3 linked regions of the Tribolium castaneum genome follow. The main gene of each other region encodes a partner of the protein of the gene in region 2 in a complex. Links are inferred from orthologs where the notes say so. Each region holds a gene or a part of one and is shown on either strand. Other genes may lie near its edges.

Region 1 (3,989 bases), on a different chromosome or scaffold from region 2:
TAAACAGATTTTTTCCTAATTTTTTGACTCAAAAAAGAGCGAAATCGAGCAATTTTTAGTCAAAATCAAGTAACCTGTGTTTTTTTTTAAATCAAGTTGGCAAAGTTCAACTTATAGTGTGTCAAAGTCATAGACTGCTTAAATTAAAGGTTTCACTATAAAAACTGATATGATGAGTAAAATATGAGTATTTTTCTGAACATTTAATAGAATAATAATTTTTTTTTGTAAGTTAGGTAACTAATAATTTGGTAATTTGTGCAATAATGTTTCAATGAAAATGATTTGTTTGTAGCTTTAATTTTTGAAAATTTTGTTAAAATGGTAAAATCAAAAAAATTATATCAGGCATTATCCCACCCCCTGAGGACGACGCCACCGCCCCTTGCTGGGAGAACAGCACCGATGTGTTCCCTAAACCCTCCGGCAACATGACCGACACCGAAAAACTCAGCTCCAAGTCGGAATGTAGCGTCGAGACGCGCTGCCACAGCCGAAGACTGCGCCCCTCAAGCACCTGTGAAGAAAGAAGCGTCGATCGACTCTACCTCAGCGCTTTGGCATCCTCAAAACGTGGCAAAATCCAACGACAAACACTCCTAGTCATCAACAGTGACTACTTTGGCACCGAAAAAAATGCCCTTCAGGTGCAGAAAGGCGACGTTGTGGTACTCCAGGGTACCCATGTGCCGGGGTGGTTCTGGGTGCGCAACAAGGAGGGAGAGGAGGGGTTCATACCGGCGGTTATAGCCGGACACGGATTTTTGTAAATAAAAGTTGTACAAATTATTTATTAAAAATTTATTTCAAACAGTTTAAATTGTCTTTTAATACAGTCCTGCCAACTTAAATATGAAATTTGCGATTTCACACAATAATACGCCAATTTGAGCACTCAAACTTGGCCATACTGTAACTTAATTGTTCTTAAAAAAATAATAAGGGTTATAAACGATTTGGGGTCACATTCGAGCGATTTTTGACTCTTTAACGGTACCTTATCCTAACCTAAAGAGCATCAATGACAGCTGTCAAATTCAAATTCTGGACGAATTATTTATGGTTTATTATTTTACTAAAGACTTAATACAGAGATAGTTGCAAATTTTTGTAGATAAAGTTGCTACAAACGTCGATTTTGGGGCTCGACCCCGCAATGCACAAAGTCTGGAAGGGCTCATCCTGATGCACCGCACTGTACGTGGTCACAGGAGACGTCGGAATTTCCGTGATAATGTCCCCGTTAAAACTCATTTGGTAGAATAAATTAGAGCGCCCCCCTGCGAAAATCCTGTCTTGGTAGACCTCCGCCACATGAATCCCTTTATCGTCAATGGGGAACACTGTGGCGATATTCAGGGAGCGCAAGTGCCATAAAGACAGTCGGGGGCCGCCGCCGCACAACTAAAAAATCATTTAAGGGGGGCCACTTCGCCCAAAATTGCTGACATACCAGCCAATCATCGTTAATCCCAACGCCCCCTATCCAGGGCCCCAGCTCCACCCTGGCCACTTTATCCCTACTGTGGGGCTCGATTTTGCTCACTGGGGGGCCTCCTCTCACATCCCATAGCAGCACAAGCCCGTCTTCGCCCCCCGAAACCAGTTTATTGTTACTGAAATGCCATGTGACCAAAGTACAGGTTCCTGTAATCACTTACCAGAAATTGATGCAGTGAACGTAATTCTTGTGCCCTTTAAAACACCGCACTTCTTTTCGTGTCTCGATGTTGAAAACGTAAACATTATTATCGCCACAGGCGGCAAATAATAAATTATTTTCGGGCTCAAACACTAAACAATTAACGTCAGGTTTGTCGAAACTGTCTTTGGAGTTCGGGATTTCAATTGTCCACGAGCAGGAGGGTTTTTTGCTCGTTTTGACGTTCTTCCAGGAGTACCCCAAAATCTCGCCAACTGTCCCCACAACAAGGAACGCTTTCATGGTCAATAAACTGTTGATTTGGACGTCTTCTTTAATCGTGAATGCGTTTTTGGGCAGTTGGTCTTCTTTTGTGATCGAAGATCCTTGGTTTGTTAGCTTGGAAAGGCTGGAACTGGGGTTCAGGGGGCTGCTGGAAGTTACTTAATACTTACTGGAAGACCGAAATTGTGCCGTAAATGTCACCTACGACGAGATAGTTGCCACACGGGGTGAAAGTCTGGCTCAAAACAGTGTTATAGAACGATTTATTCAACTTGTTCACCATTTTGAGGTTAAGAAAAAATAACTTTTTGTGAATTAAACGCACGTTTAATAGGCAATATTACTGTACAAAGTCTGGTTTTATTACCAATTATACGATTACAAAGGGCGCAAACGTGTATTTAACATAAATACAGCCCCAAACATTAAACAATATAACCTCAATCGACTTAATACAGGCAACTTAACATGCAACGCGGTTAAGTTAGTTGCATACCTAACTTTATTTATGTTTTTTTTATGTCATAATTAAACATATTATACTATAAACTCTAAAACAAACGTAAAAAATATACCTTAAAACGTACACATATTTGTATAGATATAAAAAAAGAACGAGAAAACGCAGATTTAAGTGTTAAAAACGTTAAAAAAATCTCAGTTGAGCTAGTGGTGTTGTGATGAGCGTGCAACCAAGTAAGCAGCAGTTTGTTTAATCGTTTATTTTTCACTTTTTTACAAAACCAACGTCTAAAAATAGCCGCAAACATCTATAAGTTGTGTAATTTCACGCTTTACTTTGCTACCGCACATTTATAGCCAAACACTCGTTATAAAAAAAATATCAGCAAAAATAAACATACCGCTTGCGTATGGCATCCTTCGGAGTACATTTTTTAATCTGAACGGTTATTATTACAAGCGAGATCAATAAAATTACGTAAAGTAATAAACCCACCAAAAATAAAACTAATCTCCGTGTGCGTGCAATTGACGGTTTTTGCTTGAAGAGCACTAGACCCAAAAACAGGCCTGCGAGGCCCCCGATCATGTGGGCCCCCCACGATATCAAAGGCTCCTTTTTAAAATTGGCATGTAACACGTTGTAGATAATGTCGAAAATGACGATTATTCCGATACACGCAGATCTGTAGATTTTGTAATTCAAGGTTTCAAAGTTCTGAAAAAAATTACAAAAATGTTGTTTCTCGCTCGCTTTATACCTACTAGAAAAATATCGGAAATGTGCGAAATTAAAAGCGCATACACGCCCCCGGAGGCCCCAATGACCAAGTCGGGGTGAAAACAGGCCGCTCCCAAGACTCCGGTGATTCCCCCGGTCACGTACAAAACAAGAATCCGCACGCTTCCGTGTCGCGCTTCTAAAAAATAGGCGAAAAGCACTTGCATGAAAATATTGAGAGTCAGGTGGATCCAGTCTTCGTGCAAAAGCATGTAGGTGACGAATCGCCAAATTTCGGTCAGTTTGTGCGGTTCGAAGCGGAGCAGTTTTTGGGTTTTTTCATCCGAGGCAGCGTAGAAGATTATCTGGTGAATTACCATAAACATTAGCTAAAAATAATGCAAAAATCTGGTTTACCTCTAAAACACTGACTGACAAAATACCGAAAGGTGTGTTTCTTGCCCAAGCGGCCCATTGCGACGATTTCTTCACTTCTTGTGATAAGGGAAAGGGGATAAAAACTTGCTCGGTTTCGATTAAGGGGTCGATGGGGTCGGTTAATTTCACTTGGATTTTTTGCGACGGTGGCATAATTAAAATTTACCAAATTTGGGTCGAAAACTTAATTAATTAAAATTGTGTGTGATAATAAATTAGGTACTTACTGGAACATGTCCGAAAGTGGAGGGAAATAGGCCCGATTTTGTGTCGTACTATTTGAGCAATTATTATGCGGCATCTACTCCGCATACAGTTTGAATAAAACTGAACCAACTATAAATAGTTAAAGTTATAAAAACAAAAAACTTGCGTTTAAGAAGGTATTTCACTCTCGAGGAGAGTGAAAATAGTTAGACATGACTCCTCTGTAATTGATAC
Region 2 (4,500 bases):
CACTGGGTGAATCAAATTGCTATAAACTTGAATTTGGAGTAAAATGTAATCGAACAGAAATCCCGGTGAACAGTGGGTGAGTTTGCCAATGAGGCGGCCTACAGGTTTGATGTTTTCCTTACTGACTCGTTTCATGATATTTTTGATTTGTTTTTCGGAATCTCCGCGCTTTCGTAACAAGTCGGGGTATAAAGAATACGTCTCGTTTTTCCACCGGCTGTAAAGACAGTACCTATTCTGATATGGGTAGAGTTTGAGGACCGTCCACACTTCCTCTGCGATGCAACAATTGCAATCCATGTACGAGAGTGACGACAGTATTGTCGTGTCCAACAAAGTCAAAATATCGTAATATAACGTATCACCAGACGGACAAGGCGATTTTGACGACTCTACTCCATAGGAATTTAACGCCGCTTTGGAAATTCTTATCACTTTGTACATCAAAACGGGATCAAAACGGAGCGAAGCTCCTAAAGTAATCAACATAGGAATGGCATGATCTCGAAGTTCCAAAAATGAGGTTGCTTGTTTCGGGCTGAGGGGATTTTCATGGCGCGGGATAGGTTTTCCCTTGATTTTTGGTCCCAACTTACAAAATCTATAACAACCAATGTGGAAACCTCACAGCTAACCCTACACTTAACTTACTCTCTATAAACAGGTTCAACGATGTAATGCAACAATTTGCACAGTGCTAACGCGATCGGTTGGAATGACAGTGCGTAGTGATCAGGCAGACGATTTATCAAATTTTTCGCATTGTTCCAATCACCGACTGAAAGCAACGCCTCGCAAAGCCCCAACTTTTGGTTCGCGTTAAATTTTTCCATGAGATTTTCCGGCTCTTCGGGCGTTTCTTCCTTCTCCTTATTATTTATCGAGATCACTTGTAGCTTACGCACGTATTCTTTTGCATCTTTCATCGCTTTATCACACTCTTTAAACATGATTTTATCCTCAGGTGTTAACTATAAATCAACCATGAGCCAACAAGTCTTGAAAAAATCGTTTCATTACCCAAAGATAAATGTCGTCCAGTGATATAATGTTATGTTGTAACAACTGCGCCGTTAATACGTATAGAGATCGAGGAACATTTGTTTCGCTACTTCGCAAAAAAGTGAATTTCGATGCTAGAACTTCACTCACGATTTTCGGGTCTTTCATATACGAGCATATTAGAGGGACGAAAATTCGCGCGTCTTTTGGTTTATTCTCAAAACTCTCCAGAATTATATCAAGGACTCGGTTTGGGTCGAGGTTGAAGCAACCAATTAATGATTGAACTATGTCTAGGACGTCCTCATGACTGGTATTTTCGCCAAACTCTTGGTTCAATTCCGTTTGTAATTTTGCGAAACCCTCACATTCCTCGCGAAATAAGTTAAATTTGCGCTGTTTGTAGCTAAAAATAAAATTCACTTATAGGTGATTTTTTTGTAAATGTACCGTTTTTGAGAAAAATAATAAAATGTGTTAATATGTAGTCGATAACAGCGCAGACATCGCATTATAATATTTGCACTTATTACTCGTATTTGTCGTAATTTAATGTAAATTGTTTTCGTAGAATTTATTACTAGTCCAACTTGACAAATCATAAATTAAACTAAAATTTACGATAGATAATATAAAGACAAATTTTTAATCAAAGTGTCATTTTTTTTTAAATGTGTTATGTAATTGCAGTGCCAAACTCATTATAACATTGTGTAATAAAAATATATAAACTATCTTTTCTTTAACAATGAACAATCACCTATTAAACTTTTGTTTTTTTGTAACTTGTTAGCATCATCCAAAATCTCAAATATTTCTCTTATTTGAGACAGTCTTAATGCACTTGCTCTAGCACGTCATTGGAAAACTAATTTTGTGCTCCAAAATTAATTTTCCCTACGTTGTGCGGTTCAAACTTAGAATTATACTTACTATAGTTTTGTCTTCACTTTAATAAACTTTGAATAAAACGTTTTGTTTTTCAAGATGCCAACTTCTTGTAGCGTGTCTATTTCTAACCGTTCCTTCAACAATTGGTCTGAAAGCAACTAAATTTTCTGAAAATTAGATCAGCTTCTAACATTTGGCTAAGACGTTACCTTTTCACATTCTTTTATGATAAAACACAAATTGTTCCTTTCTTTTGAATCGTCGTTACTGCTATCAGGTATGCAAGAAGAGTCTGTGATACTTAAAACGTCTAAAATTACCGAAGGAACATCAGGATGTAAAGACTGCAAAAAAAACTTGAGTTTTTGTGACTCTTGACTACAACAAGCTTACAACAAGCTCCTGGAGCGTTGAAACAACAGCCTCCACTTTCAACTGCCCTTTGAGTCCTTTGTCAATCAACATATTTATGTTGGTTATGAGACTTGAGACTCTCCCATTTTTGTCAAAAACCGGGGACTTGGTGTCATCTTTCAACAACTGCATGCATGTTTTAACACTGAAATAAGCAGGAACCTTAGCGTTGACCACTCATTATAGAATTAAACGCAAAATCAACAATACACAAACGTGTGGACATTGACTCGTGTTTGCAATTCCCACACGTATTAACACACGAAACGGATGCAAAATTCGAGCAAATGAACCTAACCACATTATTTCAGTGAAATGTGCACTTACAACTCTGTTTTTCCCGATTTTTCCCAACTTTTCCAAACATCGTTACTAACAACACCTGCCATTTTTAGCAACCAAGCGTCATTTTTCCCAACATGGGCGCCCACGCGTTGCCAACAGCGAACCAAAGACCCCAGATTTTCGAAACTTGGAGCAAAAAGCACCAAATTTTGGGCAAAATGTCAAGCTTTCGGAATTGTGGTTAAGAACAATCAAATTTTTTTTGTAGAGAATTATGTAGTAATTGCGTTTTTTGCTTGCGGTTTTACGTCCGAGTGGATGTAGTTTACGGTTGTTCAGTTTCTGTTATTTGGGGAAAATTCGGAAAGACCGCAAGTTTTTGAATGCAAGGTTGTCTCACGGTATCACGCGAGTCGCAATCAACCAACAAAAAATTTGCGTTTGTAAAATGTGGACGCATGCGTCCTCAAATCCTCAGTATAGAAGCGAGAATGGAAGAGGGTGCAGGTGATGCTGTGACAGAGCTACTAAGTGGGGTAGATTTCGAAAATACCAAACACCAAAAGGTCATTTCGAACGGATACGGCCCCTACTCCGGAGGCTACGCAAATGGATATACGGTGAATAATTATTTGTGGATACTCGGCACGTTTTCCGGCTTTTTGGGTGGCTCATCAAGCTATTAACATTTCATTAGTGCTGACCAAATGAAATTGATCCTTATTATTAATAATTTATTATCCTTGCAGTGCATCAATAAGAGGAACGTGTACAGAGGATCCGAGCAGAATGGACATGTGCTGGTAATTAAACACTGGCCTACATTTTTCTAAATCTCACTGTAATTATTTTGCAGGCATCGTCTGACGAGGAATGCACCGCCAAAAACATGAAGGGACCAATAAAAAACGTGAGTCTAATTTTGACGCCGTCGAAATTATTTATTGCTACTCGCGGCAGTGTTTATTTTCCTCAAAAAATTCCAACAACGCAACGCAATATCATTTAAATTTTTTTCAAATTTTCTGAGAACGCGATGAGGCGTCCTTATCTGCAGATTAAGTAACACGAATTCTTAGATAAGGACGGGACAAATATTACAGCATATACTCATTTACTTTCACCTTCGTAGTACAATCCAAGCATTTATTTTCAATAAACCAAATTGTTTATTCTTGATTAGAATATCTATTAGCTGCATAAACATAATCTCTACCATGTGTTTACAACGTATAAACACGTAAAATTCGATAATTGTTAGTTTTCCAGTAGTTCAGGCCATGAGACGGCTAATAACACACATTAAACCTTGTCGTTAACACTAAAGCTTTTATTTTGTGAGATAATTCTTTCAACATGTGCACACAGATTCATTATTTGACCCAGAAAAGCGCTCGGAAAGTTTGAATCTGCATGCGCCAGTAGTTAAACATTCCTCCTTGAGATCAACAAATAATTCTATTTAACGAGGTGCATACAGTTTATTTCCTGTACGTGTAAATATTTACGCACGGCACTATCACTCAAGATTGTACTTTTTAATTTATTAATTTTAACAGCTCTGTTTTGAAATTAATAATGTAATAATAAAGTCAAGGTTTTGAAGGTGGCGAAAATACTCGTTATTTTTTATTTTAATTATGCCTGGTTGGTAACACCAAGTTTGATAACGGAAGGAACTATCATTTCACTTGTGTTTTATGATAATTTCAATGACGTAGTTATCACGTTCTAGTCATGCTTAAATTCTAAGTAAATTAATTAATAACTTTATTAAAAGAGGATCTTACTGAAACTGTTTGCATTTATTTTTTTGAAGGTCAGGTCACAATACTAATGAAAATTTCGGTGATTTTTACGACTTTTTGTTTTCGATTATGGAAGTGGCTTGGCAACATTACCTACAAC
Region 3 (4,500 bases), on a different chromosome or scaffold from region 2:
CCCGAAATTATTGCTAACCCGGCGCATCCACCATTTTTAAACAATATAAAAATGGTACAAAAAGTCAAAAGTCGGCTCTCTGGTGGTCAATTCTAATGTCAGTCGTTTACAAGATAGCGTAAAATTTAATGTGACATCAAATGTGATAATCAGATAACAAGAAAAATGTAAAAAAATAAATGTTATCCCGGCGCATCCACCATTTTTAAACATTTTTTTATGCCAGAAAAAAATTAGTAATGTTAAACTTAAGGTTGTTGCGCTCTTTGGTAGTCAATTCTGAAATCAACGTTTGCAAAAAAGCGTGAAATTTGAGTTTTGACATAAAGTTGAGGTTTAAAATATGATTTGAATTTAATTTTTAGCTTACCAATTTTTTCAACTTATTTTTCAATAAAAATCGTTTTTTTTTTTAAAATATCCCTTGGTTTTCCACTGTAAAAAAACAGGATTCAGTGACGAATTATATAGTAAATTTTCGCATTTAATCATTTTTAAAATCCTCTTGAAAATATCAGTTTATAATCGAATATAGTGCGGTAAAACTTTTATTAAAATAGTGGAGTGTTAAGAGCGTAACGAGTTTGGCAACAAAACTGTTTACCTAAATGAAATTCAAAGCAAAACACAAAAACACTTCATTTATGTTTGCGCAGTTTTAATAACGTTTAGCGGTGTTTTATGCCTCGAAACAATTACGAAATAATTAATCTAATTTTTTTATTTTTAATAACAAAGCTTGCAAATTTATATTTTTTGGGGGAAATACATCAAAGCTAGATGGAGCCACTTCTGGCGGCGCATTCAAATGGCGAATAAATCCCCATGCCGTATTTTACTTTGTCCCAATTGTCTCAGAACGTTTTAAAGTCGGCGTTTTCTTTTTGCGGCATAAACCGTCTGTCTAGAAAATTAAGAAATACCTCGGTGAACTAATTCGCGTAAAGTCGTGCGGAAAGCTTTTCGTTCTCTTGTATAATGTGTTTTCGGACAGGCGATAAAATTTTATCGTCGTCCAGCAATATTTCCTACGTGTGATCCTATGTAGTAGTTCTGACGCGACACCTTTTTTATCATCTTGAGAACCCGTCCACATCCTCGATAACCAATACAAGAGAAACGTGCCACTGCAAACCTGGTCCTTAGCAAAATGGATGAGTAGTCAAGAACATCCAAGTCCTATCTTAACACTGCTCGATTTTATACCTGGAGAATTTTACGAGCGCTCGCGTGTAAACAACACTTGGAAGGAGATTGAAAAATACTACAAAAAACTATTAAATTACGAAGTTTACACGATTAGAATAGCTCCTGTTTATTGGGCCAAGTAATTATTCGGGGACCGATAATTGCTTTAATTCGGGCGGAAAGCGGCAAGAAGTGCGCGATGTTTAATTAAAGCAGGTAAAAACGCGTTCAAATTTCGCGCCATTCACAATTCACCCATATTTAGTGAAATAATCACGAAAATCGCCCTTAATACAATAGTGATTACCATTTACAGTCTTGATATTAAAAAGTGCGATTTTATTTTTTTTAATGTTTTTACACGAACGACAAGTCCGGTACTCTGAATGATTATATAACGACCCAAATGTTACATAATCCGATTACGTAACAACTAATAATTGAAATTATCCAAATTATTTATAATATAAGTCGCAATGTTTGGATTTTGATTTAAAAACACAGAAATTAATTCGTTTAAACCAAGATGTGGTGTCCTGAAACAAAATGGCGTCTGTTGTCTGTCAGTTTGCGCATTTCTAACCTCAAATTTTTTGTCGGCTTGTTTACATAATCTTTTTTGCTTAAAAAAATGGTTAAAGAGTCAAGTAGTTTGAAAAAAAAGCGCAAAAGTGGGACTAGTGCCGACAATGAGGCCGAAATCGACATTTATAAAGTAATTACGCCTCCCTAATTTTGGTTATCACATTTATTGATTTTTTTGCAGAAATCGGTCGAATTTGAGGAGAAAGAGGCCCTCAATCGACCGAACGATACCGACGCTCAGATTTACTTCAACACGTGCAAAGAAATTCGGCATTTATTCGCCGAAATAAGTGAACTGAAAATGAAGAGTGGGTCTGATGTAAATTGGAATTTTGTCGCTTTTTTGTATATTTTTTGGGTGTGCTTTGTAGGTCAGGGCTAAAATTACGGAAAAAACCACCGAAGTGTGTCTATTATTGGTGCTTTTGAAAAAACTGAACCGCATGGAGAAGGTGCGTTTGGTTTTTCCAAAAGAACAATTGGCTGCGGAAAAACAAAAAGTGGACAGTATTAATTTACAATATCAGAACTTGTTGTACGAGGCTAACCATCTGATGTCGGAATATCGCAAATGTTTCCAGTTCAAGTAACGAAAACCCCCTTTTTGTGTAAACCCCCCAAAAATTTCTTTCAGGTCTAAAGACGAGCACATCGAGCTGGTCCCCGTTGAGGAGTTCCTCGCCGAAGCGCCGAAAAATTTAACGACAAAATTCAAAAAAGTTGGTTTAATTTTTTTAATTTCAAAAACTTTAAAAAAAATTTTAGTTTGATGAAACCGACGAAATGGCGAAGCACGAGCTGCGGCTCGCGCGCCTCGAGTGGGAGCTCCAGCAGCGTATTCATTTGGCCGACATGTGCAAAAAACTTGAAGAGGAGAAGAAAAAACTAGAGGGGGATATTGCCGAACGTCGCAATAAATTGGATAAATTGGGGCCCCTCTTGTCTTCGGTCATGGAGGCCACGAAACCGGTGCAGGAGCACCTGGGGCTCCACATTGACAAGATCCAGGCTGAACACAAGCTTGCCTCGCTTCTACCCAACCCCCTTTACTTGTTTTATGCCAATATTGACGCCTACAGACAGGTGAACGACTCGGGGATGAGTGTGGAGATTATGGGGGACCAGGAGGAGGCTAGTCAATGGAAGGAGTTGGAGTTGGCAGAGGATGAAGAAGAGGAGGAGGAGGACATGGAACCGGAAGCTGAGATACAGGAGGTGGAGGAAATTGTCGAAACGAAGAAACGGCGTCACCGGAAGTCGGTACATGTTGATCCACTTGAGGAGAAAAAACGCAAGTTGTTACAAGTTCACCCGCTTTCTGTACAAGTTACTGTCACTACTAAAGACGGTCCTTCAATTAAAATTCGACTAAGTTATTACGCAAAATTGGAAATCGTCACTGTATCTTCAAGCGTCAATATTCCGAGCAATATTACAGGTACTTGACCCACTATCTACAAAAATCCTCTTTTAGACAAAAAAAAACGGATAGTTACAGGTATTTTGTGAATGATAAGGAAAAACAACATAAACTACACCTTTTTTACTTGGTTTGTTTTCCGTCTCTATTTACAATTGAGTCATGTCCTGTTATTATCGGAATATGCTGAAATTTTGCATACTCACGTAATATCCGTGAGCGTGAGCAGCAAAAAATTCTTCTCGCTTTTAAAGGGAAAATCATACTTTCTTACTTTTTTACTATAATGGAGGAAAAAATGCAAATTTTTTTTAGTGACCCCCGAGTGTCTTTCTTACAGGAAACGCAGCTCGTGAGGTCTTATCAAACGAAAGCGTCCTCGTGGAGCTGGTGGAGGGCGACTTCGGGCTGGACAGCCCCAACCCGTGCACCCCTTACCAACTGAAAAAAGTCGGCTTGGGGTCCTTCCAAAGCCTCGTCCCAGAGCTTGGCTACGTCTACACGTGGGCGCAAAAAATGTGCGGCATTGATTTTTTGAATAAAATGTCCGGTTCGGATCAACTGAGCCAAACTAACGTCGAGTCGGTCATGAAAACAATAAAAAAGCGCCTAAAGTCGCGGTATGCCTTGGCGAAACAATTGGAGGAGTTGGAGCGGAATGTGATTCCTGTTTTGCCGGCTAGTGTCGATTTGCCGCGAACCACGATTTCGAGTCTTACGAAATGGTCATCAGGGACGTATCAAAGCTTTTGCGAGGCTAAATTTACGGAGGGTTTGCTAGAAGCTGAGTTAATTTCGCCGAATGATATTTTCTATAAAGCGACAATCACGCGTGATAAAGGTAAGTTTGGTGAGTCACGTGATTAATTAGTGTTTTTTTTGTATTTTAGCAAATTTGCAAGCTTTTGTTGTTATCAAGAACGATTATCCGTCAATTCCACCAATTTTTGCGCTTTGTTTGAACTATAACGGGACTAGACATTCGCAGAATGATGATAATATTCGGGTTTGTTGGTAATTTTGGGTTTTTGGGTTGGTCTCACTCGTTTTACAGGACATGGAACGGTCGATTAATGTCGATTGGAACCACGAATTTTCAAATGCAAATTGGCTTTTGTCGGCCCAGATTATGTCATTGTGTGTCGGACTGGACATTTATCTGGAAACGGAGGACCCTGGGACGTTTCAACAGAACACCATGTATATTAAATCGACTTGGTAGGGATTTTGAGTTTGTTTTTTGGGGGTAATTTTGGTTTTTCAGCGCCAGAAATAGGAGAAAGCCGTTCAAATTCAGGAATATTGGG

The links. The genes of interacting proteins can lie anywhere in the genome.
Region 1: tho2 (region 2) and thoc6 share a complex: the UniProt entries of both Homo sapiens proteins name them as parts of the transcription/export (TREX) complex. The link is inferred for Tribolium castaneum from reciprocal best matches to the Homo sapiens genes THOC2 and THOC6.
Region 3: tho2 (region 2) and thoc5 share a complex: the UniProt entries of both Homo sapiens proteins name them as parts of the transcription/export (TREX) complex. The link is inferred for Tribolium castaneum from reciprocal best matches to the Homo sapiens genes THOC2 and THOC5.

The regions. Positions count from the first base shown.
Region 1 is NC_087395.1:25,800,466-25,804,454, reverse strand, and holds thoc6 (THO complex subunit 6), read right to left. Parts: upstream 2,392-3,989; 5' UTR 2,211-2,391; coding exon 2,098-2,210; intron 2,052-2,097; coding exon 1,662-2,051; intron 1,617-1,661; coding exon 1,454-1,616; intron 1,405-1,453; coding exon 1,084-1,404; 3' UTR 1,052-1,083; downstream 1-1,051. Other genes in the region: uncharacterized protein LOC103314375, read left to right, coding at 349-770; protein rhomboid, read right to left, coding at 2,772-3,107, 3,155-3,475, 3,528-3,701; DNA oxidative demethylase ALKBH2, read left to right, coding at 2,608-2,623. UniProt on the Homo sapiens protein: Component of the THO subcomplex of the TREX complex which is thought to couple mRNA transcription, processing and nuclear export, and which specifically associates with spliced mRNA and not with unspliced pre-mRNA.
Region 2 is NC_087402.1:8,544,882-8,549,381, forward strand, and holds the start of tho2 (THO complex subunit 2), read right to left. Parts: upstream 2,790-4,500; 5' UTR 2,697-2,789; coding exon 2,635-2,696; intron 2,453-2,634; coding exon 2,287-2,452; intron 2,238-2,286; coding exon 2,103-2,237; intron 2,052-2,102; coding exon 1,936-2,051; intron 1,409-1,935; coding exon 1,021-1,408; intron 972-1,020; coding exon 652-971; intron 602-651; coding exon 1-601. Other genes in the region: serine palmitoyltransferase 2, read left to right, coding at 2,976-3,212, 3,342-3,395, 3,449-3,502. UniProt on the Homo sapiens protein: Component of the THO subcomplex of the TREX complex which is thought to couple mRNA transcription, processing and nuclear export, and which specifically associates with spliced mRNA and not with unspliced pre-mRNA.
Region 3 is NC_087399.1:3,176,154-3,180,653, forward strand, and holds the start of thoc5 (THO complex subunit 5 homolog), read left to right. Parts: upstream 1-1,720; 5' UTR 1,721-1,819; coding exon 1,820-1,903; intron 1,904-1,954; coding exon 1,955-2,092; intron 2,093-2,144; coding exon 2,145-2,359; intron 2,360-2,407; coding exon 2,408-2,492; intron 2,493-2,538; coding exon 2,539-3,211; intron 3,212-3,533; coding exon 3,534-4,034; intron 4,035-4,083; coding exon 4,084-4,199; intron 4,200-4,247; coding exon 4,248-4,411; intron 4,412-4,457; coding exon 4,458-4,500. UniProt on the Homo sapiens protein: Component of the THO subcomplex of the TREX complex which is thought to couple mRNA transcription, processing and nuclear export, and which specifically associates with spliced mRNA and not with unspliced pre-mRNA.